Linked DNA regions of Caenorhabditis elegans. The protein of the gene in region 2 binds, or shares a complex with, the protein of the main gene of each other region. Each region holds a gene or a part of one and is shown on either strand. Other genes may lie near its edges.

Region 1 (6,495 bases), on a different chromosome or scaffold from region 2:
ACTATCAGCAGCATCTAAAACTGTTATCTTGCTTAAAATCAAAATCTCAAAATATTACCTAGCTCAACAGCTTTATGAAGTAGTGTTCCTTCCTTGCAGCAAAGTTTATCGACTTGAACGTGAAAGTCCGGTTGGTTCTCTGTAGTTTAACATATTGTTACAGTATACTTTTATTGAAACTTACTCATTTGTGACAAGATTGAGCAAATCACGTCCACTCGGCCGCTCTCAAGGCACTGCAAAAGTACCGGAGCGGCTTCTTCTTTTTCACCCATGTCGCTGAAATTATAGATTTTTTGAGGTCGAATTCGTGTTAAATACAGGGTTAAAAGATGATCGACTAACACGTTCGAATCGTCGTAAAAATCACAGCAACACAATGATTGGTAATACAAAACGATTTAGCATACAAAAATCTGGAGAAGCAGACAAAATCCACGAAGATCGCAACAAACACGACAGCAGCGGAATTTGACCTTTCAAAAAAAAATAAACGTGAAATTGATTTTTTCCATAATGGAAATTATTATATTCGGGGGAATTTAAGATATATTTCAAACTGTGATTTCACAAAAACTATTCAATAAAAATCTTTGAATTTTGTTTCAGTTTCTCAAAAAAGTACGAAGATATCAATCGTATTTCAAAACCTACGTTAACTTTCCAAACTTGTTTCAAGAAAAATTTCAATAAGAATTGTATAAAAATGTTTTCAGTATTATAGAACAAATATTCATAAACACGTTACCGAAACAAAAATCTTTGGGAATTTGCAACAAACAACTGGAAAGAGTTACCAAAAGTTGGCAAAAATTGGAAAAAATTGAAAAAAGTTGGTTGAGAAGTGGGTTAATTTGGCTGGTAAGTGACCACCAATTGCAGTGTTCCCGGCCTATGGTTTAACTAATATTCACGGCCACGTAGCATTTGACATGTTGTGGGCCTCCTCCACAAGATGAGACGGCAGAGAAACATACGGTCTCTGCGTCTCTCACTCCTACATCTGATCTCATTTATTTTGCACATATTGATCTACCGTCCGGCTCTAGTATGTAGACATTTTTGTTGAACCTTTTGAAGTATAAGACATATAAAAATGTCTGTATACAAAAGAGTAATTTAAAGGATAAATATCAACTCCAGTCGACAATGTAGTACTAAGTTAACTCAGTACTACATTGTCGATTTTTGAAGGTTTTTTGAATTTAAAAAAAGTTGGCTTAAAGTGAAAAGCGGCTAATGGAAAAACTTATTAGTTGAGTTAAAAGAGAGAAATTTCGGTCCAAAGATTACGCTGGCTACTACAGTACCCTCTTTACTGAAGAGCTGATAACTACATAACAAAATGTTCAGTTTGAAATGATTAATATTTCTTTAGTTGACAATATTTTTCTAACCTGTAAGACAGACTAGTTGCATGTCCCCAAAAGCTACATTGATTAGAAAGTCAAATAACAGTTCATGAAATACTTTTTTTAAAAGTTAGAAGAAAGTATTCACAAAATTGTTAGATATCTCATATAAAATAAGTTCCCAATTGAAATATCAATTTCAGGTTTCAGGACTTAGTGGTATAGCCGGTTTAAGATGGCCAACTTGGAAATGTCAAAATCCCCATAATTTTTTGTATATAGAAATGTAGTTCTTGTTAGTAAAAATTGTTTTAAATCTGCTTGTCATAATATTTGGTTAATAAAATTGTTGTATCTTTAAAGATAACGGAGATTGTAAGGTTTTAATTAAGGGTGGCATGTAAAACCACAGCCATCAAGTTATGGTCGTATCTTTTTATTGAGAAGAGATATCAAAAAACTCTCAACTTAAGAAATGTCTGTCTTTTTGTAATGCTCATTTTGTCAGTTTATCATTAGTCTCTATCTCAAACATGAACAGAGTTATATATGCTCAAAATCTATGAAGTGCATCCACTTTCTACAATCAAGGCTATAGCTGCTACAGTCTACCGTATCATCGATTTCTGCTCAAATTTAAGAACTCCTGTTGAAAACAACGGCAAGGTGGCCAGCAAGCAAACCGCGAGAGAGTTGGTACATTTCTTGTGAAGGAGACCGTGTACAGATTCCACGTCGCGCTGGCCGAGCCTTTGAGGACTAGTAATACGGTGGAGTGTCGTTAGCGCGCTCTGTTTAGCAAACATTTTTCATTTATTTTTAGGGTTTTCAAGAGAACATTTCAATAGTTTTCATCTGTTTTTTTTTGTATTTTTAACATTAGTTGTTTCAATTTTTTTCAGAAATGAAGGTAGTTCTTCAACGAGTTACTCGAGCTGCAGTCACCGTAGGTGATGAAGTGGTAAGAATATATTAACCGTTATTGTTTAAAATATCATAATCAGGTAGGTTCCATTGGAAGAGGTCTGTGTGTGCTTGTCGGAGTTCATCGAGATGACACGGAAGAGGATATGAAGTATATCATTAGGAAAATTTTGAATCTACGAGTTTTCCCTGCTTCGGAACAAAAACCATGGGATAAATCAGTTATGGATCTCGATTTAGAAGTGCTGTCTGTCAGTCAGTTCACCCTTTACGGTCAGTTTAAAGTGAGTTTTGTCTAATATACTTAAACAAAACTATTCATATTATTTCGTTTTTTAGGGAAATAAACTGGACTTTCATACCGCAATGGCCCCAACAGAAGCTTCAAAATTTTATGCTTCTTTTCTTGAAGCCATGAAAAAAGCTTACAAAGCTGATAAGATTCAGGACGGCAAATTTGCAGCAATGATGAGCGTCGATATTGTAAATGACGGACCTGTTACAGTTACTTTTGATAGTAAAGAAAAATAATAAAAATTTGTTTTACTACTGTTGAATTTTGTACAATTTTGTTCATACAGCGGTTTGATTCCGTCATCATATCTTAATTATTTTCATATATTTATATTCTCTGGCAAAACCTCATATTACGTATACCTTAAATGCGAGTTTTCAATATCTTACGCACATTGGTCTCACCACGCAGACGACGACTTACTGTAACTTTTGTCGATTTATGGATTTTGCATTAAATTTTGATTATATAAATCGTAACAGAAATTTTTCCTTTAATTTGAAAATTATGAGGCAAATGTGGCCCTTAATTTGACACCAGTTACAGTAACCCGATATCAGCGTGGCGAAACCCATACGCTGAGTTTTCCTCTAACAATAGTTTTTTCTTATTTCTAATGTAAATCTCATTAAAAACTGAAAAAAAAACTTGGAAAAACGTCTCCATTTCAGTTTGTCTGATAGCAAATCGAGTTCACTGAAATCTCTTAACCCAAATGGGGAGTGCCTCTAAAATCGAGGAAGATCTGTGCAGGATATGCCTTCAGATTTATTCGATGCGCCTTTAAAACTATTGTTATTTTGATTGAGAAAATTTTTTTTCTTTCTCTTAAATATTTTTCTATCAGTTTTGATGTGTTCTGTAGCTTTTTTTCTAATTAATGGAGAAACTTAGCGTAATTTTAATCGATTTGACAAAAGATGTGCGCAACTTTATGCAAGATTTTTTTCACTTTGCGCAGGACTTCATCGAGTCTGTTCAGGAGTTTCACTCTACTTATTATTTCTCGCAGAGTTTCTTTTCTTCAATTGCTATAATTTGTTTTTAAGATGTCGTTCGAGAAACTGCAAAAGGAATTGCACGAAGCTATCGAAGGAGTAAACCGATACAATCCGGAAAATGTTGCCGACTTGGCTGCCTGCGTTCAAGCTATGGTCAATGAAAACAAGTACGATAAAGATATCGTTTTGACCATTCTCAAGCTCTACCAGCTTAACCCGGAGAAGTAAGTATTCAAGAAGATTAATAAATTTCAAAGAGAATTTTTCACAGGTACGACGAGGCTGTTGTTCGACAAGTTTTGCTCAAGACGTTGATGGTTTTGCCATCGAGTGATTTCGCTCTCGCCAAGTGTCTCATCGACACCAACAGACTCGGATCTCAAGAACTTCGCAGAATCTTTGATCTTGGAGCTGTGCTCGAATCTTGCAACTTCGCTGTTTTCTGGAAATTGGTGAAGGGGGCGTATAAAGTGAGTTTTTACACTTTTCAAAGAATAGATTTATCTAATATTGAAACAAGTGAGCTTTTCAAAATCAAACCTTGTTTTGTGTGCATCTGAAACTCAGTATTTATTTCAATGCTGAATCTATTTATTTTTGGAATATTCTTTAATTTCGGCGTACGACTAATCAATTTTTAAAATTTCAGCCAACAACGAACCCAAATGAACCCTTCAAAGTTCCTGGCGAAGTCCCAAAAATGATCAAGCCAATGGTCGGATTCGAGGATGCTGTCAAGCACTGTCAGTTAAATATTATTTTTATTGCTTGACAATTTCAATACCAAGTTTTCAGATGCTTGTCGCGTCATCAGTGTTACGTTCCAAAAAATCGAAAAGAAAATGTTGAGCCGTCTTCTCGGCGGAGCCAGTGACAAGGAAGTTACCGCACTGGCACAATCATTCGGATGGGAAGCCAAGGAAAATGGAGATGTTTTCTTTGTTGCAAATCACGAAGGAACTATCAAAACAAGAAATATCGACGAGAAAATTCAATTCCCACGTGAGTATTATGCGTATTAGGTTTTTCAAACGATTTAAAAAATGTCCTAATAATCGAAGAACAAATTTAAAATGCCTAGTAAAATCTCAAGTGCATCTATCATTTTCAGATGTCGCCGATCTTCTGACCAGCATTCAACCCCCGTTGACTCTTTAATATCAATTATCACTGTCATTCAAATTATAATACCCTTGTTTCTGTTGTTCGGTTTTCCCCCGTTTCTATTCCCTTTCCTATTTATATTTCCTTTATGTTTTCATGAACTTTATTCAATATTCACTTTTACCCGCATTTTATGCATATAATATTTAACATGGATCTTCTTTTAGCGTCAAGTCTCCGTCGTTGCTCCGATGACTCTCAAACCGTCAGGTGCTCTGACTACCCATTCAGGCCACCCGCCAAAATAGATCTTCCCATTGTAACCAGATCGTGTCAAAGCCCACCAAACCATTGCCGATCGAAGTGACGTGGAACAGTATATAATCTGAAGAATATGATCTAGCGAGAAATATTATCATAATTTCAAAAGATTTTAGCATGTCTTCTCGAAGACGCATGGATTCATCCAGATTGGTCTCGACGCGCAAATAAGTTTATGGTACTTCTTTAATTTTGCATTTTTCAATGAAATTATCTTGTTTACAGGGTGGGCCAAAAGTATGGTAACACGTTTGCAGCTCTATAACTTTACTAGTGAAGAGAGTTATTACATCAATTTGTACAAGTTTTGTTCTCCATAAAATACTGACCAGATGAACGTTTTGAATTTTCAAAATGTTCCCATCCGCATCGCTGCAGGCCTTCAGAACTTTTGAGATCACGACCTTTATGGCACGCAAGTCGGCATTCTGCGGTTTTTCTACATTTTTCTCGAGGAATCCATCAAGTGTCTTACAAGTTTTATAGTTCAAAGAATGCTCTTGGTCTAGAGATTCTTTAAAAACAAAAATCCAAATAATTTCTATCACGGTATTTCTGTCATGGACTGCGGCAGTAGGTTAAGTCTTGAATGGCATAGTCGCCAGAAAGATGGATGTGAGCGGCGAGTAGCAGTATGCAGAAAAATTCATTTTAGTATTTTTCGAGACGTTTTGACCTGACTTTCCAGAATTTTTTTAGAAAATTGAGCTCGGATAATTTTGTGGGTCGTTACGCCTTGCGAAACCAAAAAAACTGAGTAAATTTCGCAAAGTTGAATTCATGAAAAATTCAAAGGTTCTTGCTAGGCGCCAGTGTCGACACAGAAAATTTTTATATGCTACAAAAACAATCAAAAACGCTTCTTCACTTCTTTAACTTAAAATTTAACATAAAAATCATACATCTGAAAATTATTGGCGTGCGTGGGAGGTGTGTTTGTGTGGGAAGTGCCGCGTGCCAAATTACCGTTTTTTCGAGGCAATCTATCCCATGCTCACATTTCCCATGCACACATTTCCCATGCTGACACTTTCTCCCGTGCACACAAAATTCCCATGCTTACGCCCAGTAGTTCGAGTACTCCCATGCCTACAATTAATTTTTCTCCTTTTTTTCCGTTCCCATGCTGACATTCCCATACATACATTTTCTCCCGTGCATACAAAATATTCTGATGCTTACATCCAGTAGTCGAAGTACTCCTATGCCTACAACTCATTTTTCCCTTTTTTTTCGTTCCCATGCTGACATTCCCATACATACATTTTCTCCCGTGCATACAAAATATTCTGATGCTTACATCCAGTAGTCGAAGTACTCCTATGCCTACAACTCATTTTTCCCATTTTTTTCGTTCCCATGCTGACATTCCCATACATACATTTTCTCCCGTGCATACAAAATTCCCATGCTTACATCCAGTAGTCGAACGTTCCCATGCCGACATTCCCACACATACATTTGTTCCCATACTTACAAAAATGTATTCCCATGCCGA
Region 2 (7,945 bases):
TCGGCTATTTTTTGTTTTACATAGCTTCACATAATAAAGTTTATTTTTTGACACAATAACTCTGTGAAACCGAATTATGTAGACGGGCGGCCACCTCGACGTGATATTCTTTCACTTTGTGACGTATATTCCTAAGTTTGTCTAAGTTCATTTATATTAAGTTCCCATGTGTATCCAATTCCCTTGCTCCAGAGTGATTTTCTGGGCTCTTTCACGTCAGAACTTTGTAGATGGAAGAAACCTTTTTTAGAATTCTGAAAAAAAGGAAGTGAGGTCGATTATTAAATAAAATAGAAAACAGTTGGAGGAAAAGAATAAATAACATAAATGATGATAAATGAGGTGATAGTACGCGCAGAAAACAAGAAATCAGATAGAGTGAACGAATATTGATGACATTTTTTGACAGTTGAACGATCAGAGTCTATTGACTGTAATTCATTATATTACAGTTACAATAAAATCTTGTATTGGATACGGGAAACGAGATTGTCACTGATTAAAGTAAATTGATTTTATGTGTTTCATCTTATGAAACTTTTATCTTTAGTTAATTCAGAATTACTAAATGTCGAATTTTAAAAAAATACGGTGCCCGGTTTCAACACGGCACGTGTTTGTTAAATGCGAAAAGGTGTGTTCCTTCAAAAAGTACTTAAAAATGTTAAAATTTGTTTTTACATTTTTAATCGACAAATATGAAAAGTTTTCTTTAAATTAGTTTGAAATTACATATCTCTTTAAAGGCCCACTCGTTTTGTACAGAAAAATAACGTGTCGAGACTGGGCTGCGTATTTTTGGCGCAAAAATTGCAAAAGTCGCGTCTGGGTAATATCACCAACTAAGTATCTCGGCTCACATCATACTAGAATTACGGTTCAAACTTTGAAAATTCATTCAAAAGATCATATCTAAAAATTAATTTACAAATAAAATTATCATGTTTACAAGAAATATACAAAAAAACCAATTCAAAAATAAAAAAATACTCCAAAGTTTTCAATTTATTCTACAAAATGCATCAGTTATTCACAGTTTTCCTTCGGTGAACTTGCGGAGAAGGCTCTCCAATTTCATTGCTCCTGGCATATCACCGGAGATTTGGAGCTTCTTTGTCATCAGAGCAGTCGTCGGACGGAGTTTTCCAGTGAAGAGTGGAGCGAAATGTTCTGGAGCAAGTGTGAATTTAACATCAGCTTTGCCTGAAGCCTTCTTATCTGTCAGTGCTCCTTCTCCGTTTTTCAAGTCCAAAGTAATGATTCTCTCGCTTTTTGTAGTTGGGTCTAAAGAAATTCATATAGAACTATAGATTTCAAACGGAATTGACCTTTTAACAAGAATTCATACACGAATCCAGTTTTCTTTACAATATCAGCATTAAGCAGGCGCTTTGCAGATGTGAATATCTGTTTGATCTCTTCTTCAACAACTCCGGCTTCGTGAGTCTTATTCTTTTTTCCGATCTGTGCTCCAGATGAGAACTTGTGATCGTAAGTTCCTGCAGGAATAAAGAAATCGGGCATCAATGGAGCATCTGGCACACATGCATATCTGGAAAAATTAATAAATTCCAATTATCCAGAAAATGAGCAATTACCTATCAAAATCAGTAACTCCTTCAGCTTTCAGAATATCTTCATCAATGCAGAAATTTCCAGTAAAATCCTTGGAGTTTTTGGATAGAACTGCATATGCTGCATCAGCCATAATTGATGGTTTACGGCTTCCAGCTTCTCCTCCTTTGTCAGAAAGCATTTCCATTGCAGCAGTCCAAATTGCGGTCAGTGGCCATAGAGCGTTCACAGCAATACCTGAATTATGGAAATTAAAATAACGATGAAAATTAATATTTTACTATTATAAATGTTCGATATACTGAAATTTCTTACACAAAAATATGGTACTCGGTACGTACAAAAGTATGTGCACCTTTACGGGGTACTGTATCCAATGGTGGCATTTTTCGACTTTTTCGATTTTTCGATGTGTTTCAGTGAAAATCGAAAAATCGAAAGTTTTCGATTTTTCGATTCTATGGAAAATCTAAAAATCGAAAAAATGTTCAGAAAATTGATTATAAAATTTTTTATCTAATTTTGCTTATAATGATGAGAAAAAACATAGAAATTTCTTCTAAAAAGAGGGATAATGGCCAAAATATTAAGCTGATTTTTGAAACATCGAAAGAGAACTATATTATTAAATTTTTCGATTTTCAAAAAAAAACCGAAAAACGACTGTAGCCCCTAACACTTCGGATAGTTAGGAGCTACAGTACTCACTGTACGTATTTTTTAAAAATATTTCGAGATTTTCAAAAATCGAATATTTTTTCAAATATATTACCATGTGGTCTGAATTCTTCATGCTGCCCGAGAACACACATCGACATTCCATACTTGGCCATTGTATAGGCAACATGATTAGCAAACCAGCGAGTCTCCATCAAAAGTGGAGGTGAAATGTTCAGAACGTGCGGATTCTTTCCAGATTTCAGATATGGCAAACAAGTTTTTGTCATGAGGAATGTTCCACGTGTATTGATCGAGTGCATCAAGTCGTAGCGCTTCATTTCAGTATTTTCTGTGTCGGTAAGTGAAATTGCTGAAGCATTGTTGATAAGGATATCAATTCCTCCGAACTTTTTTACAGCTTCTTCAACTGATGCTTTCACAGAAGCTTCATCTCGAACATCGACGATGCATGGAAGGGCTTTTCCTCCGGCCTAGAAATAATTGTTTTTTGTTTAAAAAAACTTCCTTAAAATTATTTATATCCAGCAATTTTCTATATTACCTTCTCAATCTCTTCAGCAGCAGAGTAAATGGTTCCAGGAAGTTTTGGATGAGCTGTGGCTGTCTTTGCTGCCACCACAATATTTGCACCATCTTTTGCCAATTTCAGTGCGATTTCCTTTCCAATTCCTCGAGAAGCGCCAGTAATCAGAACTGTTCGCCCGACAAATTTTCTGTAGAATCAGAACTTTATTATACGGGAAGTTATTTATATAACTCACCCAGTGTTGAACATTTTATTATTGACACTGTCTTCAAAGGATTACTGTAGAATCTGAAACTCCGAAATTTAGAATTAATTCGGCGAGCCAAGAAGAGAAACAATAATTTTTTTTAATTTTGAAAACAAACGGGAAAAAAAATCGGGATCAATGGAAAAGATTGTTGTTGTCCTCCTGTTCTACTTATCTTCCCTCGAGACTGGAGACGCAGGCATAACTAGTGGGAGAATACACATAAGACTACGTTCTAGGTGAAAACCATGGACCTATAGGTCAAAGTACAGTCTATCACTGTACATACAAGACTACTCGTAAGAGAGATTAATAATTATTCGGAAAAAATTGAGAAGTAGTTGCGATGAGCGTAGAATATAAACAATCATAAATTAACTTCATAAGAAAAACCAAAAAAATTTACTAAACTTATTATGAACCATGGATACAAAATAATTGGGAGATAAGAGAAAAAAAGGAAGTTTAGGACCAAAACGAAAAGACAACAACAGGAGAAAGTGGTATAAATAAACGGAGAGATGTTTTTAATTTTCAACAAGAGATATAATGTTAACAAACGAGTGGGAGTTGGTGTGAAACTAAACGAAATTAACCGGAAATCAACCAGTCATGTTTCGTTTAGCTCAAATACTTTTTAAGGATCATGGTTTCTGGATATCGAGTCGTTTGAGCACATCCTGAACCTCTTGCAACTTCTGAATATGTCGAATGAAATGTTCACCGACGTGACGAGCAACTTTGGTATCGGCAATATTGATCATATCACGGTCTACGTAAAAGTCAATATCTGTTTGTGGCTCATCGTCGTCTGCTGATGATGGTCCGGCTTCTTTGCCAAGCTCATTGACGATCATCTGAAATTCAAAATATTACATCAACACTCGAGATCATCGGAAATTCTTATATATACCTTGTAAGTGAGAAGCTTTCCAATGAACGAATCATAGTGCTCATCATCAACATCCATGAACGACGCAAGCTTCTTAGTTGGAAGTGTTGTGTAAAGTTTCAGGTATCCACGAAGAACTGGTAACGCCATCTGTGATTCAATACCTTCCAGGAAAGATTGAGTTTGACGAAGAAGTGGTTCTTTCGATTGGTTGACTCCCTCATAGACAACTGTGGTTGGAGACAAGAACTTTGGACATCTGCAACAATACAATACTATACAATTACTTGACTAATTTCGTTTCCTACCCAGTAGCAAAAGCATTTCTGAATTCATCGATATTCCCGTTCGCCATGTGCATCATACGCTCACCACATCGCTCCGAAAGCTGAGAAGCAATGCTTTCATCGATTCTTTGTGGCTGGATGGCGAGGCAGATTGCAAGAAGATGGAAAAGCTGATCCCACGTCTTTCCAATCTGAAATCGGCAGAATATTATTGGGTCTTCATTAGATATTCAATTATTGTGCAAATATTGTGCAAAAAATTTAGAAAGTACTCACAACATCATATTGGAAGTTCTTTTTCGATGGCTGCTGATTTTGAACACTCTTTGTTCTTTGAATATAAAGCAGACAATTGACGAACATCTTTGTAGCTTCTCCGTAATTTCTCATCATCAAATGAGAAAATCCAACAAAGTAATGGAGAGTAACAAGGCAAGTTGGAACTGTATTGTAGATTCCTTTTGGATCAATATCCACGTATTGCACGGTTTTCAAAGCCTGATGATAGTCTCCTAGAAGAACGTGAGTGCGGAGAAGTCCGATGAGAGCGAAATATCCAAGCTTGAAGTAGAGATCCGATTGACCGAATTCATCGGCGACCGAATCCGGATTGCGTTTTTCCTGGAACGACTGTAGAGTTGAAAGCAAAAAAATAATATTGAATTAAACAAACCTTCAATGCCTTGAGCTGCTCCACAATTTGGGATTTTGATAGAAGCGAATAGAGAATGTTGAGAACTGGATAGATATTCCACGCGTTCTGATTTTCTTCGATATTGATGAGATCTTCAACTTCATCAGCATTGCGTTTTCCTGGGTTAGCCTTGTAGAGACAGAATGCCTGAATATTTATATTACGTACAAACTCTACCAAAAAATATTACCTGGAATTGATAGACGAATTCGTCGATAATATCCCAAAGCCACACGTTAGGGAGAGACAATGGAATTGGATCCTTGCTTGAGAGAAGCTCAGAGAATAACTCTTGATAGTTCATGAACGACTCATAGCGATGGACAAGGAGTGGTCCACGAGTATTTCTTGCATACAGCTGGCGATAATAGAGTTCCTTGTAGAGAATTATGAACAACTTGTTGCCAGGTCCAATAATTCTTTCGACAACATTCTCATCGGGCCACATGCGATCACGGAAGAATCTGAAATTAAAAGATAAATAGAAAACAATTTGAGATTATTAAATATTACCTCTCGGTGAGATCTGGAAAAGCTTGATCGTAGAGAGTCAAAATTTCCGGCACATTTTGTTCGTCAACCATGCGGGAAAAGTAGACCAGGTAGTCGGCGACCTCATTTGGAACTCCATCCTCATCGGCTGAAGCTGTTAAAAATTAAGAAATGAGATAAGTTTGTGTTGTTAACAAGCACCTAAATAACTACCATAAATATGTTTATAGAATTACTCTATTGATTGATTATCAATTTTTCTTTTGAAAAGATTTCACAATGCACGATCATTGATCCTCTGATACTCAACTTCTCTCTCGGGCTTTTAAATGATTAACTTCTTATGAACTCTTATGAACACCTTTTCATTTATTATTTCTTTCAAATGAATAAAGCTGTGATTCATTTAATCTGAGATTTGAGGATATTCGACACCGAAAAACACTGAAAATGACAAAAGTAGTCATTTTCATATACAATGAGGGAGTTCTGAGAATTGGCATTGATTCTTCACTGTAACAGTATTTGGAAAATTTGGTTTTTCTGAATTTTATGTATTTTGCTCATGGAATGTTAATCTGCAGTTTTTATGCAAAATTATTTCAGACCAAATTCTCCAAATGTCTGTTTGCCGAATTAAAATAAATCGGTTAATCAAAAAAGGACCGAGTCTTCAGTCTTTTCGAACTGTTTCAAATTTTAACATTTTTCAACTCATTTTACTCTTATTCATCAATTCTGAAAAATAGCATTCTGTGAACTTACAAGAAAAGGTGTTGGTGCGACGACGATCAGAGTGATCTTCAGTGGATAAATCGAATTCCACGCGTCGAGACATTACTGAAAGAAGGTTTTTATATTGATATTATTTAAATGTCAAACTAAATTCGAAAAGGTACGCTAAAATTAAGAGAAAACATTTTTTTAATTGTAAAATTTGATGAAAGGAATTGGAAAATGTGATGGAAAAAAGAAAATTGCAAGCGTTGCATGGGATTTCGCAAGAGTGCCGCACGGTTTTTTGTGTACGCATTTGCTCGTCATTCATGTTGTCTAGGCAGTTTTGATGACATTTTTTATTCTAAAAACAAAATGTTTTATTTCATTTGCTGTTTAATGTTTGAATATGTATGGAAACTAATTTGATACCCTTTCCGCTGCATTATTTTTGCAAAATCTCAAAATTATATATCTTCAATTCACTACCTAGAAGGCATATCTTCCTGCATTTAAAAATCTATTTTATTTCAGATATGGTAATTGAAGTCCCTCAAACTGAGCGTGTCAACGACGTTGATGTTTTTTTAAGCACGCAAGATGGTCAAATTCAGCGTCCAAAAGGGCCCAACTGTCGGCATCCTGTACGTCAAAAGTGCACTAATTGTTTGCCTGTTGATGTAAGTGATATTTTCTGTTGTTTTCATAGAAACTAATATCAATATTTACAGCCATTCGATGAAGAATATTTGAAAGAAAAAGATATCAAGCATATGAGCTTCCATGCACATGTTCGCAAGCTCCTTGGATCCCAGGGGAAGGGCACGACTCTCAAAAAACCGCTGGAAAACTTTCGATGTTCATTAAAACCCAACTGTGATGCTCACAAGCCGTTCCCGAAAGGAATTTGCACTAAATGCAAACCACAGGTTGTAACATTGAATCGTCAAAAGTTTCGTCATGTTGATAACATTCAAATTGAAAATCAAGAGCTTGTAAATCAGTTTTTGGATTATTGGAGACTATCGGGCCATCAGCGTGTTGGATTTTTAATTGGACAGTATCAGCCTCACCTTGAAGTTCCACTAGGAATCAAGGTAAGTTCAGTACTTCATCACTCATTTCTTGAGACGAGTTATTTCATTGCTCATACTTTCAGGCTACAGTGGCTGCAATTTATGAACCTCCACAACACTGCCGTGAAGATGGAATTGAGTTTTTGGAGGATAAAAATCAAAAAACTATTGACAATTTGCTGGAAATGCTTGGCTTGCAACGTGTTGGATGGATCTTCACAGATTGTTGGACAGCTAATAGTGCTGAAGGAACTGTACATTATACACGGCACAAGGTGAGAACAATCTCGAAGAGAAGCCCAAAAAACGAATAATTTTTCAGGATTCCTTCTTCCTATCAGCTGAGGAATGCATCACCGCAGCAATGCTTCAAAATCAACATCCAAACATCACAGAGTACTCGATGGATCGTCACTATGGATCCAAATTTGTGACCGTTGTTGCATCTGGTGATGAATCGATGCATGTTAATTTCCACGGATATCAAGTTTCAAATCAATGTGCGGCCATGGTTGAAGCTGATATTCTCTGTCCAACACTGTACACTCCTGAATTGGCTTATGTTCGAGAGACACCATTATCCGAAGAACATTATATAACTGATGTTCAATTTTCGATGAAAAATGAATACGGAGCCGAGGTTATGAAAAACGGACGACCACTTCCAGTTGAATATTTGCTGGTGGATGTTCCTGCTGGAATGCCAAAAGAGCCTCACTACACGTTCCACGTTGGCACATCTAATAAATCGAAGAGTG
Region 3 (7,116 bases), on a different chromosome or scaffold from region 2:
TTTTGGAGCTGATCGTTTCTACTTGGGACTCTGGAAATCTGCAATTGGAAAACTTTTCAGTTTCGGTGGTCTTGGTGTGTGGACTCTTGTGGACGTTGTTCTGATCGCAGTTGGATACATTAAACCTTACGATGGATCCATGTATATTTGATTTTTTTTTTAATTTTCTTTTCCAATTTGTGTAAATACTTCCTGTAATAAGCTTAAGCTTCGGGTGATTTCTGATACTCTTGTTATTCTCCTTATTTTCGTCTTTTTGAAATTGCCATTTTTCCATTAAAAGTAATAAATATTTCTACAAAATTCGATTGTAAACTGTTTGAATATGAAGTAGATTATTACTCAAAAATATCTTTTTTACATGAATTTTCAGTTTTTCTATTTTTCTTTTCCAAATTTTCCAATTTTAATTTCCAGCCGAAATATGATCGGCAAGGTGGCTGGAACCGCGGCAATCGCTGGAATATCTTTCCTCGCTGGAAAATATTCGAATGACGATCTGCCAATCTTCAGGAATGTTCAATCAGCCACCAATGTTCCAATGGTTTAATAAAAATCTTCTAGAATCCTGAAAAATGCCGCTTTTGCAGAATCAAATCCAAGTTTCGGAGCCAATGACCGTAAAACCAGCATCTCTAAATGCTGATGCAATGGGACCATCTCGTTCGGCAGAGATCATGAAGCACGGATATCCCGGATTCACAAATGTTCGAACTTATGAGGATTTCGTGCTTTCCTACGATTATAAGACAAGAACTGCACACTGGGTTAGTAGAAAATTATGAGAAAATATATTTCAAAAATCTATACCGGACGCCAAGTTTTAGCGCCAAAAATACGGTACCCAGCAGGGCTACTGCAAAAATAAATCTTCCACCAAAAAAAAATTTGTTTCATTTTTGCTGAATCAGTGTTGTAATTTATTTTTTGGTTTTTTGTCCCGAAAAAACCAAAAATTTTTTTTTTCCAAAAACAAAGGCAGCTTTGGTCTCGACATGCCTTTTGTTTTTGTATAAAACAAATGGGTGTGCGCCTTTAAAAAGTACTGTCATTTCAAACTATCATAATTTTTATTTTTAGTATTTTATTTTAAAAAATATTTATTTATTTAAAAAAACACATTAATTTTAACAATCGTGAAAAAAAACTATAAAAATCAATGAATATTCCACAACAACGAAACTTTGAACCTACCGTACTATTTAAAGGTGCACACCTTTCTACATTAAAAAATTGTCGTGTCGAGACCGGTTTTAATAAAAAATTGAATTTCCAGGTCTGCGAACATCTTACACCAGAACGATTAAAACACGCAGAAGGTGTGGATCGGAAGCTTTGTGAATTCAAGCCAGATATCACTTTCCCGCAGAAATTCCTTTCTCAAAATACGGATTATAAGGTTAGTTCTTCGTAATTATTACATAAAAAATATTTCTGAACCATCCAATGTTTCAGTGCAGTGGATTCGATCGTGGACATCTCGCCGCCGCTGGAAATCATCGGAAGAGTCAGTTGGCGGTCGATCAAACTTTTTATTTGAGCAATATGAGCCCACAAGTTGGACGAGGATTCAATCGCGATAAGTGGAATGATTTGGAAATGCACTGCAGGTTGGTAAAATAAATAAAGTTTTTTGCCGGGAAAAAAACGCGAAAAATGTGAAATAATTTTTTTTCTCGTCGACGAAGTTTTTCGCAAAAACACGTAACTCTAAAGAATTTTGTTTTTTGAAAAATTAATACAATTTGAAACTTTTGGAAAATTTTTTTGAGAAAAAAAAACGAAAAATCTACAGCCCAGTCTGAAACCAGCTGGTACCAAGATTTTTCTTTACAATACTAAAAATAATTTTCTACAATTTCCAGAAGAGTCGCAAAAAAGATGATCAACTCCTACATAATCACCGGTCCCCTCTACCTTCCAAAACTTGAAGGAGATGGAAAAAAGTATATCAAGTATCAAGTTATCGGTGATAATAACGTTGCAGTGCCAACTCATTTCTTCAAAGTTGCTCTTTTCGAAGTGACACCCGGCAAATTCGAGCTGGAATCCTATATTTTGCCAAACGCAGTCATCGAGGATACTGTAGAAATTTCCAAGTTCCATGTTCCATTGGATGCTGTGGAGAGAAGTGCGGGTCTTGAGATTTTCGCTCGTTTGGACCCTAAGAGCATTGTGAAAGAGAACGGAGCAAAGAAGGGAGGATTACTTTGGTGATTGATTGGATTGTGATTCCGGTGAATTTTAGGTTTAGGTTGTTTTGTTTTTGTTTCACAAATAAATTTTTTGTTAACTTTTTTGATTTACTGATTGAAAAAACTTGAAAACTCAATTAAAAAGAACAATACCAATAGAAATTTTAAAATCTTAACTTACTATTAGTCAACAACAAAAATTCATCCGAAATAGGGGAAGGTGGAAAAGGATACCAGAAAGGAATTTCATACGGCAAAAAAATTTGGATGAAAAACAATATCCCTATATTGAAAGTGAGACATTATTTTATGTCACTAGTTTTATGTAATATGAAATTCCTTTCACCGAGAGAAAAATATTTTAGAAAAGAAAAAGTAAATTAAAGGGAACAGGGAGGAAACAAAAACACGAGTATATTTGGGAATCTTAACGAGTCGATGAGACAGAGCTCAAAGTTCTGTCTTTTGTTCCGGCGACTTTCTCCTCAGCAACAGCTTCAGCGATGAACATTTTCGTGATATTTTCGCTGGTCACAGTCTTCGAGAAGTCAGCGAGAGCGTTGGTGTCAAAACTGGCGAGAAGCTCATCCAAAAGTCCATTTCTTGTTTGGAGTTGTGGAGCCTTGATTCTCTTGATGTCATCCATTGGAATTGTTGGATCACCACGGGCCACACGTGATTCGTTCTCCTGTTGCTGAAATTGGAAAAATATAAATTTTTAATGATAGAGATTTTTTTTTCGAAAATCGTGAATGGCACCTTTATTCCACCGAAAATGTACCCCTCACATCCGGTTTTATAGTTAGTGGAGCCTCGATATGTTGGAAAATGGTTTTCAAAAAACAAGACTTTAGGTTTGAAAGCCGTTACACTTCGGAATATAAATTTTAGCGATACAATCAGGATATTTTTAATTTCAAAATTCGAAATTCTTACTCTTTTCTGCGTCAGACTGAACACCATATTATCATGTCTTTGCTTGTCAATAGTGTACTTCGTCAACGACTGAATTGACTTGTTCAGCTCATCAACATTAGCCATCATAGCTCGGACCGACTTTTCAAGCGACTTCTTGGATCCCAAATCGAAGTGTCTCGTGGAGTACTTGTCAGAAGAGCATGATTTAGCGAGTGAAAGCTCAGACATGAGAACATTGTTGAGATATGAGGATTTGATGATGATTGGCAACTCCTCGAACATGTTCTGGTATGTCAAACCAGCGGCTTTCACCCTGAAAAGATATGTCTTTGCAAATATATTTTTAAACTCAAAAACCATACAATTCTGGTCTCCAGTCATTCTTTGAAGCGAGATCAAGAGCAGCGGTGGAAAGACGCCAGGCTCTTAGAGAAAGCTGTCCTTGGCGAGTCTTGATTGGATCTGAAAGCAATTAGAATTAATTATTTATCCTCATTAATCTGTCTAACCATAAATAAGAACAACATTTTCTGGGCCCATAGCCTGGTAATCGAACATAGATTCTACGAGATCGTGTGAGAAACCGGCTCCGAATTGATGAGACTGATAGAATCCAACGATTTCGTAATCGATATTCATTGTACGGAATTTGCGGAGCATGTCAAGCATCTCGTGTTGCTTTTGCTCTTCGTATTGTTGAGCGGCCTATAATAGAAAATATATTGGAATCACTAGCATGAGCTAATTTTACATTAGCATCGTCATCCATAACTGGCTCGTTGCGAACTGTTGGGAAGCAATTGGTGATTTCCAAGCGAGAATCTTCAAGGAAAACAAGACCGGTGAGAACTCCGGCACAAGCGTCTCCAGATACCTGTAAATTACATGTTAAGCTTGAAATTAAATTAAAATAATATACCTCACTAATTCCTGCATGAAGTTCACTGTCCACGTGCTTCACAATTTTCATAACCACAAGCGAATCCAAAAGGATATGCTTGACGCTCGGAGCGGTAATTGTCACTGCTGTCGACATTTTTGATAACCCTGAAAGATGAGCATTTAGTTTTTCAAATTTTCTAAAGAACAATAAACAATAACATGCATCTCACAAGAGGAAAAATCAATAATCTAAGCATCACGAATTTTTCGAAAGAAAATTAAAAATATAAATTTCAGAAAATTGGCGAGAAAAACCTCAAAATAATCAATAAAATCTTGAAAATAGGAAACACTCCACGAAATTAATTCCTTCCGTTGTTGTGTGCAACTGCGCGTCAATTGTAGTGCATGCACACAATTGCACACCGTACCCGCGCGTGATCTTTTGATTTGAATTCAAATTTTTGTCGTTCTTTTGTTTTTGGGATTTACTTTTTAAAATGCTTTTTGAAACTTTTTAAGAGAAATTGTATATTTTCAGATGCAATCGAGTGCATCCAACGACCCTAATAAACCTACAAATAATGAAATAATAAAGGTAAGCGCATTTATGAAAAAAAAATCAATAAAACACAATTCTTAAATAAACTAGCTTTATTGGAATCCATTTGAAGATTTAATATTATAACCAAATGCATATTAAAAAATAATTGTAAATTTGTTTCAGACACCATTGGTTCCACCAAGTCCACGTGGAGGATTAAAACGAATGGCGGGAATGAGCCAATTGAAATCGACTTTTTCAATTTCTTTGGAGGTAAAACCCTCAAGTTTCCAGCATTTTTGTTTAATAATATTCATAATAGTCTCAGAGAACAATCCCACCACCATCATCGTCCTCATCCTTCCTATCCCATTCAACATCGATGGTTTCTGTAGCAGCGAGTCTCAAAAGAGCCGGTGTACCTAGTCTAACTCGAACAAAGACTAGTGCATTACCCATAAAAATGGAGAAAAAGCCAATGGTTCCATTGCGGATAGAACAGGACCACCAGACACCGATCCGAAAACTGGCTCCGGAGAGTATTCCAAGCCTGGAAGATCAAGTAACACCGCCAATGCGTCGATCTAGTAGTGGATCAATGCTGTTGAGACAGACGCCTGAAAGGATTCGAAGGCAAGAAGAAGATGTGGAAACACCTGGTTCTCCAGTTAAAAGATACCGAAGATCCGGGTCAATGCCACGATTAGAGGCCCAGTCCCTTGATGTTCCAATACGAATGGAAATTGGAAATAGCTTAACTCCTGTGTTAAAGAGGAAGAGAACATCTTCATTAACGGTAATATATTCAACTGAATCATATCAGAGCTGGGCGGCAAATTTTTTTTCGAAAAATTCGGCGAATTTCCGAAAATTTGATTTTTCGGCAAATGCCGATTCGCCGGAAATTTCAATTCCGGCAATCTGAAATGTTTTCCCGTTTTTCTAGATATTTTCATAGAATTTCCTTACTTTTCAAAATAGAAGTAGGAACATATTTTTTTATATTACGGGAACACAAAATACTGAGAACGCGTATTACACAACATATTTGACCCGCAAAATATCTCGTAGCGAAAACTACAGTAATTCATCAAATTACTCCTGTAGCGCTTGTGTCGATTTACGGGCTTGATTTTGGAAATATCTATCGATGAATAAATAATTTTAATTCATTTCGAGAATCGAGCCCTTAAATCGACCTACAGTAGTCATTTAGATAATTACTGTAGTTTTCGCTACGAGATATTTTGCGCGTCAAATATGTTGTGAAATACGCATCATCAGAATTTTGTGTTCCCGTAATAGGAGGCGTACAATTTCGCGTCTTTAACTTGAAATTCTGAAGTTTCCAATAAAAAGTGCAACAGCACAGTTTGCCGAAATGCCGGAAATTTCAATTCCGGCGATTTGCCGATTTGCCGGAAAAAATCGTTTGCCGCCCAATCATATAAAACTAGTTTCTGAAAATAACAAAAAATATTATTTCAGTGTCTCTTTTCATCCGACATGCCACCAATTTTAACTCCACAACGTTTACGTCCACGTGGCATTTCTGAGACCCGTACCATCGATGATGACGTGTTCGTTCCAAAATCACCTACGAAAAAGCCAATAACTTCGCCAATCAAAAAACGAGTTCGTCAAGATTCGGAAAATCGTTCGACAAGTCCCCTCAAAAAACGATATATCTCGTCGTTTTCGATTCGGCTCGAAGAGGAAAAGGAAATTGAAAAAGGTTTTTATGAAAGCCTGAAAAAAAATAAACATAAATATGTTTTAAAAATCCTGAATAATAGAAAATAGCCTCAATATACCTATAGAATTTTTTAGATTTTTCAAGAAAAAAAAATGAAAAGAGCTGAAATTTTTGCGTTTTCCGGCTATTTTTATTGTTCTTTTTTTCTTTATGTTTTCTTAACACACAATTTGTCAAATTTTCACAATTTTTTCCGAAAGAAACTCGATAATCTGGAATAAATTTCCTAAAACTCTGAAAAAAATTCGATATTTTACAATTTATTGAATTTTTTATGCGAAACAGAATATGAAAATCTGGCAAACGATGGTTTTTATTTTTAGAAAAAATATTAGACATGCATGTTTAAAAAAAATTGCAGAAAAAATATTCCGTTTTTTTTTAAATAATTAAGAAAAAAACGTTTCCCTGTCACATCTTTTAAAATATTTAAAATAAAATCCATACTTTGCAACTTCACAGAAATAACCAAAAAGTACCAAAATAATGCGAAGTGACAGCTAAATATTAACTTATTCATGCGAGAAACAATTATTTTCGGAAATTTGTTTTAAAATTGCATCACTATATTGAAAATAAGGTTTTCTTTTTTTCAAAATTTTCACAAAAAAATTTTAAATTTAAATATACATTCTCTATAACTCTTAAAATTTCAGCAGTACCAACTCCCACAATGTCAACCCCGATGCGGAAGTTCAAATCAACGATATTTAATCCAAGGGCTGTCACTGAACGAATCGCTCAAACTTATGGAACTGGAAGTCGTCAATTGGTAGAGTTTACTACAAAAATTCAAAAAATTGCAAAAAAAAAAATTTCAG
Region 4 (8,592 bases), on a different chromosome or scaffold from region 2:
ACATTTTTTTTTCAAATTTTGTTGATGCCGATGAGGAACAAAAACCATAAATATTATTGTCTTCAATAGAAGAAAAATTACCAACATTTTAATTTTCTTAAAATAAAAAAAGCGGCACGCTTGGTGCATGGCTGTCGTGTTTTTTTTGTTGTTTTTTCGGACCAATAAAACAAAAAAAGGGAGAGGGGAAAAATTCGATATTTTTTTGTTTTTTTTTGGCTCAAAAGGTTTTTTGGTGACTCCCATGGTTGTGAGTGTGAAAATATTTTCTTTTAGTTGTTTCATACTTTTTCAATATGAAATATGAAAAATTACCTTTCGTTTCTCCTCGGCGAACATAGTCTTGTTAGCCTTTTTCTCAACTCTTCTCAGCTTTCTGGCCTCTTTTACAGCTTTTTTCCGCAGACTTCTCTGTTCCGGAGTTTCATTTTTTGGTCGGAAAGTAGAAACAGTTGAAAAAACGCTTTCCTTATCATCATCATCCTCCATATCCTCATCATCATCTTCATCTTCTTCAGCAATATCCATCTCTTCAACAGCTTTATCGAATCGTTTCAATGCCTTTCTGGATAAACCACGTGGCTCCTTGATGAGTGTCGGATGATTGTAGATATTAGTGTATTGAGTAGCAAATGATTCACAATCCCATTTCATTTTCTTATTTGTACCCTCATCCACTTCCACAATCTCGTATTCTTCTTTGTCTTTGATGACTCCCTCTTCAATGAGACGCATTCGTTCACGTACATAATGCTTGGCGAGCTGTAAAATTAAATGATGAATGAAAATAATTCTTTTGAAAAGTACTACCTCTTCATCATACTCTGCATTTGAAGGTCCTTTGTCATTTATAAGTTTGTGAAGTCGTCCAGCGTTCGGTTCAAGTGCTCCTCCAACATCATAGTCGTCACCATCAAGCTCTCCGATCTGAAAATTAATTCATTTTTTAAAACTGGGTCAGATTAAATCTCAAAAATAATAAATAAAAGTAGAATGTTTTCTGGTAACACATAATTTTCTTGAAGTTTATTTTTCATAAAAATGAGTTTATTTAGAGGAAACCGAAAGATTGAAAAATTTTTTGAGAAAACTAAAAAATGTATGTTTCATTAAATCAAGTCTTGTTTATGTTGAAGATTATTTTATTCTAAAAAGAGGAAAACTTGCCAAAACTTAAAGAATTTTCCGAAAAAAAAACTAAAAAACGATAATTTTCGATTTTTTAATTTTTAAAAATTAAAAAATTTTCAATTTTCAATTTTCGATTTTACTGGAAATCTAAATTTTTTCGTTTTCTATGAAAAGCCGATAAGCGAAAAATTTGATTTTTTTAAAAGTTTTTTTTTGATTTTCCGGAAAACCAAAAAATCTAAGAACAATTTTTTAAAAAAAATCTAGTCAAAAAATCATTTTTTTTTAAATCAAGTCTTTCTTATGGTAAAGAGAAAAAATTAAAAACATATCCTTTCATTCTAAAGAGAGGAAAAATGGCGAAAATTTATGGCATTTTTCGAAAACTGTTCGATTTTTAAATAAGTTTAATTATCATATTTTTCAAGCCAATAATTCTGAAATAATACCTGATCGGTGTTGTATTCACGATCCATGAGTTCTTCAAAAGCATTATCAATAACTCTTTGATCAGCTCTTTCAACTCTAATCTCTCCAACAGCCTCTTCTCCAAATAACTCGTCATCATTATAATCATCATACATCTCATCGTCTTCATCGTCATCCTCTTCTTCTTCCGAATCTTCACCTCGTCTTGTACTTCTATAAACTGTAGTTCTTTCATCAAGAAGACCACCAGCAAGTGTGATAAAATTATCTTCAAGTTCTCCGGTGTTACGATCATCTGTCACCTCTTCCAACGCATTTGCAACATCTTCGTCAAAAAATTCCGGTTTCTTAAGAGCACCGACAAGTCCGAAAAGTGGTGGAGCTGGTGGGAATGCTGATGAACCACTCGTTTTGATGGTCGTTTTCTCGACTTCTTCATGAACATTTTCCAGCTTCATCGGCTGAAAATTTAAATGATTATTTTACCAATACAAGAAGATTGTTTTTCGATTATGTTCTAAAAGAGGTGATCGAAAAATTGTTTTTTTTTTGATTTTCCGTAATATGGAAAACTTTTTTTTAATCATCCATAAAATTCAATTTTATGAAATAATGTAAAAAATGCTGATTAAAAAAACATAGAAATTTTTTACTTAAAAGAAGTACAAAGACCAAAATTTTAAGCTATTTTTTGACATATCCTAAAATCTTTTGATTTCATTGAAAAATCGAAAAACAAACACTTTTTTTTAAGTTTCGGTATTTGATCAAATTGATTTTAAGATGACAAACCTCATTAACAGCTCGCATGTGCTGCAAATAATCATAATCATCGTCGTAGTAGACTCCATACTTTTGCTGTTCCTCCAAATGTTCTTGAGTTGGCTTGAATCGTTCACTTCTTTCCCTATTATCCGGAACCAATCGAAAACTTTGACTGGCTTTCTTATCAATGAATGCCTTCCTTTTACCCATTTTGAGGCGAAATTTATGTTTCCAGTAACCTGAAATATGAATTCTATGTTAATTTTTTGTTACTTTTATTGTTGGATCTGAGAAAATAACTGATTGGACAGAACCGGGGCTCATAAAAAATTACTTAAAATTGGACGAATCAAATTAAATATTTCATTAAAATAATATCCGGCAACCCAATATAAATAATTAGCAAAAACAAAACAGTATGGAAAGAGTATAACTTAAACACTACTAACCGGAAACGAAAAATGAGAGCTTTAAAGTTCAGATCTCACACTGAACAAGGAAAAGTGGGAAAGGGTGGGGGATTACCAAAAAAACTGATCAATTAAATAAAAGATTCAACAAGTATTGGCGCCTGCAAAAAGTTTTTGAGACTAATTGCAGGCGCCATGAAAGGCGTATTAGCGGGTTCCACGAATGGGAGAGACGATTGAAAAATGGATATTTAGAAGGCTCGTGGCTTTTGAGGATGACGACGTTGCTGACCACCTTGAGATCCCCAATTTCCTCGCTTTCCGTCTTGTCCTTGTCCTCCACGTCGTTCTCCTTGGTATCCACCAGATCCTTTCTGCTTATCTCCTTGCCGCTCGTTCCTTCCTGGAAACCACGATCCTGGACCTTGATAACCACCACGTCCAGTGCGCGGCTCCAGAATTTGTTCATTGTTTTCGGCAAGAGTTTGAAGTTTGTCAGACAAGTTGAGAGCAAGCATTTGAAGTCTGGAAGGTTCAACACGGTGCATGATGAGACAGTCGGTGGGCTCGTCAAGTGTAGCCGAAAGTTCCTCTTGGATGATCATTTTACTGAAAAAATAAAAAAAAATTATGTACTGTCTAGTAAAATATTACAAATACCTGATGATGCTATGAACATCTTTCTTTGAAAGTTCGAACAAATCCGCAAGCTTCTTGAGCGAAACAGTGGCATAAACTGTAGAGTATGTGAGCAAATAAGTTCTGAGAGATTCCTCTTGAATACGTCTCACAACCATTCCCTTAACAGTCTCAGCGTTATGGAAAAGATTCCAGACCTTCTGGTTCATCTTGTCATTGACGATATAGTCTTGACACTTTTTCCAATCTCCATTCAACATTGCTTTCGATGCGGCGACAACATGTTCACGGGTATTCTCTGGTGGTCCAGTGAGAGAAGCTTTCTCGCTTTGCTTCAATTGGTAATGGAAACTTCTGCTGAGCATACGACGACGCATTTCGAATTCGCAACTAGCCATGTGTGGAATTTCGAGAAGCATCGAACAGATCAGATAGACACACTCCATAAGTTCAACATTGATGTGCATATGATATGGAACTTGACGGGAACGATCAATCTTCTCTTGTTCAGCAGTCTTTTCGTGCTGACGAGTTCCAACAGCTTGAGCAAGCAACTCCTTGGCACGTTGGGTATTTTGAATTTCAGATAGTCCTTGATGAGCTTCGCGAATGAAACCGTGTCGGAAAGCGCAGAGACCGAGTTGGCAGATAGTTCTGTTGTAGAGGATTTGAGTGTCGACATCAGAATGATCAACGATAGCTTGCATGTGACTCATAAGAAGAAGATCTCTGGCGCGGTGCCACTTGTCATGAACAGCCAGATAGTAAACATGGCAGAGCATAGCACGTTGTCTCAATCGTTTCTCATCATCAAGTGTATAGATCTTATTACACAAGTAATCCATCAACTTTCCAGCATCCTCCTCATTTTGATCTTGATATTTGTAGTAGGCATGCTCGATGCGCATCATGTACACTTTGCAAACTTCGTGTTTATCGAAAATGCCAGAATCGTTACGAAGTTCAACGTACTTCTCGGCCTTTTCAATGAGTGAGCACATATCCTTCTCGGCCTTCAACTTCTCGATATAATCATTGGAATGACAATCGGCGTTTTGAAGAATTTTAGCCAACTCTCCGTCCAATCTTTGCACAGCAATCAGAATACTTCCTTGAATGCGATACTCTTGAGTGTCATCCTGCAAATATTAGGATTTTTATTAATTTTAGGAATGCAAGTATTACCTTCAGATTTTCATCTTCTTCAGCATATGTCACAGATAACTTTACACGATCAGTTCCGATGAGAAGATCGAGCAAGCTGTTGACGGTTTGCAGAGTGGTCATGAATGTTTCGTACTCCATGTGATCACTAATTTTAGCGTTCAATTCGAAAAGAGCCGAGATTATGCAGAAACTGATTTTAACGTTGATTCCTAGACCAAGTTCTTTCTCTTCCGATACCTCCAAAAGTTTTCGAAGATTAGCAACATGTTGATTACGATCTGTCGTTCGTTTTCCACGAGCCGACATAACCTCATTGAGTTTCTTAATCATAACGTCATGAGTAACTTCTTCCTTGGGATCAAAGTGAACAACAGACTTCTCACGATTAACTGGAGTCCAATCCGCATCATCGTCTTCCTCGACAGCTTCTTTGACTCTGATAACTCTCTTCTTCTTTTCTTTCTTGTCATCTTTGCTCTCCACGCGGAATTCTTTTTTCAAGAAATACCTACGAAGTTGCTCCATCTTAGTCACACTGTCTTCGTCATCAGAAGAATTGGATTCTGGTTCAGAAGACCAGTTAGAGGAGTCGTCATCGTCGCTGTCACTGTCACTATCGCTCACTGCAGCTTTCTCAGATGGTTTTCCAGGTGACTTTTCAGCCTTCGATTCAGAAACCTCTCCAAAATCATCGTCGTCTTCATCTTCTGGAGTTTCATATCCATCCTCGTCAGGATTAACGCGATAATCGGTAACAAGATCTTGCAGTTGTTGATCCTTGATGTATTTTTTCAGTTTTTGACGAAGAGGTGGAAGAGCTTTTGCGTTGTTCTTCGAAAGAGCAGATTTAGCATCTTTATCATCCCATAATTTATTTACGTAGTCTTCGATTTCCACAAGAGACCTGAAATATTTTATATCAACTACTAAGTTTTCATTAGCATTTTATTTTATGATGTGACTGTAAATTAAAAATATATCTCACCTTATGTAAAATCTTGGATTTGCGACATTCTGACGTTGAAAGACCGTCTTGGACTTATCATAAGCTTTGGCCAGAGAATCAAAACCTGTTAGAAGTCTGTTCAGATCTTTGTTGCTCTTTGCATCTCGATTTTGCTTGATAATTCCTTTCAGCTCATCGAATTTTTTGTCCTTTTGGGCACGAACAACACGCTTCTCATCTTCTTCAGGACCGGCCATGAAATCGAGATCATCGCTGAAAGATTAATCAATCTTTTGGAATTACTTTGGAGATTATAATTACCGAAATTTCGCGCTTTTGTTCACTTTTTGATCCTCTACCTCATCCTCGCTGGACGAAGTGTCGGAATCAGAGTCCTCCTTAGCATGGAAGAAGCGAGACATTGCTGAAACAAAATTGACATTATGAAATCCCAAAACAAGAAGCAAACAAGCAGTAGATACACAATTAGACAGAAATTCCAATATTATTTAAAATTTAAAATGAATAAAACGATTTTCCCTTTGAAAACAATTCAAAAAACAGCTAATGGGTCAATATTTAGCTGAAATAAATTTAAGTGGAAGTGGAACATAAGAAAATCGTTGCAAGACCTTACTGGCGCGTTTCGCGTGCACGGGAGATGCGTCAGCACTCGCCACTTGCGCCAGTGGGCATTTGCGCGGAGATTTAAATAATAATTTATTATTTAATCACAATTCCACAATTTCAGGTTAATTTTACAGAACGAGAATAGTCTCTAAATAACTTATATATGAACCGAGTATTCAGTAAATCAATCCAACATTTAAAAAGTTTTATAATTTTATTTTCTATTCAACGTAAGAACATCGAAGAAAGACGTATATAAGACAGGAATTTGATAGTTAAAATGCAAAGATAATCGCGAAAATGTTTTGTATTCAAAAATATTATGCTACAGACGTAAACAAAGAAACAACAAAAAGAAAGAGATAAACCGAGGGCAAAATGAGAAGAAATGTGCTATAAATTAGGAAAATCGGAACGTTTTGTTTGTTCTAAACTCGAATTCATATGAAATCGTCAAGAATGAGGAAATTTGGGACCGGTAGAAAATGAAGAAAAGAAGAGAGAACATATTTTAATCAATAATACGACTATGTACACGCTAAAACAGCTTCCAACTAGACGAATTAATGGCTTTGAACGGGGATTTTTGGGATGAAAGATGGAGTTGACAGATTTATCCATTAAATCAGAAATATTCTCGATTTGAAAAAATACCAGCAAGAAGGTCGTTTTCAGGGAAGCGACTCAGCAGAGAATTCGCGGCTTTAGCTGAAAAAATGCATTGTAATTTAATTTATGAACACATTTTCGAGACACATACCTATATCTGAATTTCTATGATTCGTCAGTCCTTCCAACATCGGCCTGTCAATCGTCCAAATATCCGCACGCGTCGGGCAGTGCTCCAAAATCTTGTCACATACAACAAGCACATTGTGAATAAACGTTGGTTTCACTTGATTTCCGTTCAGCAGATTTAATGGGCAATCAATTGAATACGAGTACTGTGCCACCTCTTTTTCAGCTCCACATTGCTCCATGAGCACAAGCAATAAACTTATGGTACGTTCAACAAGTTGCTGCTTTGTGGATTGAGTTCTTGTATTGTTCGGTTGACGAAAAACCCATGAATAGGCGGCACAAATGTGTCCTATTAAATTTTCCTTCCGATTTTCATCAATAACATTCAGAACACCGTCTTTTGGAACAAATGGTGTTCGGAGTAACAGTATAAAAGATCGGAGAATTGTACTTCGAAGTTCCAATAAACCAGGTGTATCCATTCCTTCACATGATAAACAACTCATCAGTTTTTTCAGAATATCCTGAAATAATTTAATTCATTTTTATATCGTTTTTCAAATTCCAAAACGTACAATTTCGATGAATTTGCAGACCTGCTGCTTTTCATTCGGTCCAGCCGTTTTCGTTTCTCCATTGGGCGTTGGAATCCACATCATCAGGAAATTGTTCAATGTACGCAGACAATTGCAAATAATTTCACAAACTCGATTTCTTTTCGGAGCATCGGTAAGTTCATCTAGTCGTGGATACTTTGAGATTATCGTGTGAAGTAGGAAAATTGCATTGGATCGTATAGCAATATCTTTTACGTGTTGTTTATGAGCCACTACGTTACTCAGAAATCCTGTTCCACTATAGATAACTTCATCATCCGGATGAATTTCGATGAGTCTCAGTAACTGAAAATTTCCGGTTTTAAACAGTTTATTTGAAGGGAGAGAAGTTTTTTTTTAATTTGAATAGACTAAAACTAGCCTGAAACGACCGAATTTAATAATGAAACTTCTTACAAAAGTGAAGTATCACTATGGAATTAGATAGGTTTGGGGCATCTAGTATAATTTTTTAAAGTAAAAGAACACATAAATAATTTTCTAATAGTCCAGTGATTTTCTAAACGTAAAACTTACGAATGGTAATATATTCTCCAATGGAGTCTTCGCCAAGGCTTTTGCATCAGAGACCTGAAGTAAGAGCTTACATCCAGCTCTTATCAAATCATTGTTTGGATACTGTACTACAGTAGTAATTGCTCCAACTCCATCAGACCGTACGAATCCATCAATTGCATCGGAATCATGAAGGAGAAGACCCAGAAGATCAAATGTTCGGATTATAACTTGGATAAGATGAGCTCTGGAAAATTAATATAACTTGTTAGTGATGGAGGAATTTTTCATTTTTAAACTTACAATTCTGGATTTTGAGGTAATGTTTCAGGATTTTGGCCTGCAATCAATCGATACGATCCGATCATTACAGCATTCAATTTTATAATTAATCCTGTTGGCGGAGGAGGTTGATCATGTGGATTATTGTTCCATATGAAGTAATCTTTCAATCGAGTATCCTTGCTAATAATAAATCGAAAAATGATGAAAATTGCTGGATTTATCATTCCCGGGTGTACTTGAGGATTAAAGTACTCGGAGAGAGTGCCAACGAGTTTTTCGAATTTCAAATGTTGAGCGAATTCTGTTCTCAATTTCTCGTTTTTCACTCCCATTATGA

The links.
Region 1: eif-3.L (region 2) and eif-3.K share a complex: the UniProt entries of both Caenorhabditis elegans proteins name them as parts of the eukaryotic translation initiation factor 3 (eIF-3) complex.
Region 3: eif-3.L (region 2) and eif-3.H share a complex: the UniProt entries of both Caenorhabditis elegans proteins name them as parts of the eukaryotic translation initiation factor 3 (eIF-3) complex.
Region 4: eif-3.L (region 2) and eif-3.C share a complex: the UniProt entries of both Caenorhabditis elegans proteins name them as parts of the eukaryotic translation initiation factor 3 (eIF-3) complex.

The regions. Positions count from the first base shown.
Region 1 is NC_003283.11:12,950,382-12,956,876, forward strand, and holds eif-3.K (Eukaryotic translation initiation factor 3 subunit K), read left to right. Parts: upstream 1-3,620; coding exon 3,621-3,796; intron 3,797-3,843; coding exon 3,844-4,042; intron 4,043-4,221; coding exon 4,222-4,315; intron 4,316-4,367; coding exon 4,368-4,574; intron 4,575-4,683; coding exon 4,684-4,730; 3' UTR 4,731-4,848; downstream 4,849-6,495. Other genes in the region: T16G1.9 (EIF3k), read right to left, coding at 1-14, 59-139, 185-275; T16G1.18 (uncharacterized protein), read left to right, coding at 956-1,048, 1,556-1,642; pqn-68 (D-aminoacyl-tRNA deacylase), read left to right, coding at 2,257-2,313, 2,357-2,560, 2,616-2,807; mpst-7 (Rhodanese domain-containing protein), read right to left, coding at 4,906-5,061. UniProt on the Caenorhabditis elegans protein: Component of the eukaryotic translation initiation factor 3 (eIF-3) complex, which is involved in protein synthesis of a specialized repertoire of mRNAs and, together with other initiation factors, stimulates binding of mRNA and methionyl-tRNAi to the 40S ribosome.
Region 2 is NC_003280.10:5,616,250-5,624,194, forward strand, and holds eif-3.L (Eukaryotic translation initiation factor 3 subunit L), read right to left. Parts: upstream 6,233-7,945; coding exon 6,160-6,232; intron 5,549-6,159; coding exon of another isoform or gene 5,543-5,548; coding exon 5,416-5,542; intron 5,367-5,415; coding exon 5,093-5,366; intron 5,050-5,092; coding exon 4,882-5,049; intron 4,839-4,881; coding exon 4,485-4,838; intron 4,400-4,484; coding exon 4,230-4,399; intron 4,181-4,229; coding exon 3,943-4,180; intron 3,887-3,942; coding exon 3,674-3,886; downstream 1-3,673. Other genes in the region: dhs-6 (Hydroxysteroid dehydrogenase-like protein 2), read right to left, coding at 1,031-1,284, 1,329-1,552, 1,599-1,812, 2,348-2,726, 2,798-2,969, 3,018-3,031; npl-4.2 (Nuclear protein localization protein 4 homolog 2), read left to right, coding at 6,648-6,791, 6,843-7,208, 7,271-7,462, 7,510-7,945. UniProt on the Caenorhabditis elegans protein: Component of the eukaryotic translation initiation factor 3 (eIF-3) complex, which is involved in protein synthesis of a specialized repertoire of mRNAs and, together with other initiation factors, stimulates binding of mRNA and methionyl-tRNAi to the 40S ribosome.
Region 3 is NC_003279.8:4,441,763-4,448,878, reverse strand, and holds eif-3.H (Eukaryotic translation initiation factor 3 subunit H), read right to left. Parts: upstream 4,161-7,116; 5' UTR 4,150-4,160; coding exon 4,033-4,149; intron 3,988-4,032; coding exon 3,865-3,987; intron 3,819-3,864; coding exon 3,623-3,818; intron 3,576-3,622; coding exon 3,476-3,575; intron 3,427-3,475; coding exon 3,132-3,426; intron 2,890-3,131; coding exon 2,623-2,889; 3' UTR 2,266-2,622; downstream 1-2,265. Other genes in the region: TM2 domain-containing protein C41D11.9, read left to right, coding at 1-151; cps-6 (Endonuclease G, mitochondrial), read left to right, coding at 425-544, 591-767, 1,277-1,399, 1,456-1,610, 1,866-2,217; C41D11.3 (Cysteine/serine-rich nuclear protein N-terminal domain-containing protein), read left to right, coding at 4,537-4,593, 4,723-4,812, 4,862-5,335, 6,028-6,274, 6,952-7,067. UniProt on the Caenorhabditis elegans protein: Component of the eukaryotic translation initiation factor 3 (eIF-3) complex, which is involved in protein synthesis of a specialized repertoire of mRNAs and, together with other initiation factors, stimulates binding of mRNA and methionyl-tRNAi to the 40S ribosome.
Region 4 is NC_003279.8:9,973,752-9,982,343, forward strand, and holds eif-3.C (Eukaryotic translation initiation factor 3 subunit C), read right to left. Parts: upstream 5,912-8,592; 5' UTR 5,910-5,911; coding exon 5,809-5,909; intron 5,761-5,808; coding exon 5,527-5,760; intron 5,446-5,526; coding exon 4,560-5,445; intron 4,514-4,559; coding exon 3,396-4,513; intron 3,345-3,395; coding exon 2,987-3,344; 3' UTR 2,675-2,986; downstream 1-2,674. Other genes in the region: T23D8.3 (Protein LTV1 homolog), read right to left, coding at 316-762, 811-927, 1,581-2,021, 2,353-2,535; Beta-catenin homolog sys-1, read right to left, coding at 6,743-6,825, 6,878-7,382, 7,434-7,760, 7,992-8,217, 8,274-8,592. UniProt on the Caenorhabditis elegans protein: Component of the eukaryotic translation initiation factor 3 (eIF-3) complex, which is involved in protein synthesis of a specialized repertoire of mRNAs and, together with other initiation factors, stimulates binding of mRNA and methionyl-tRNAi to the 40S ribosome.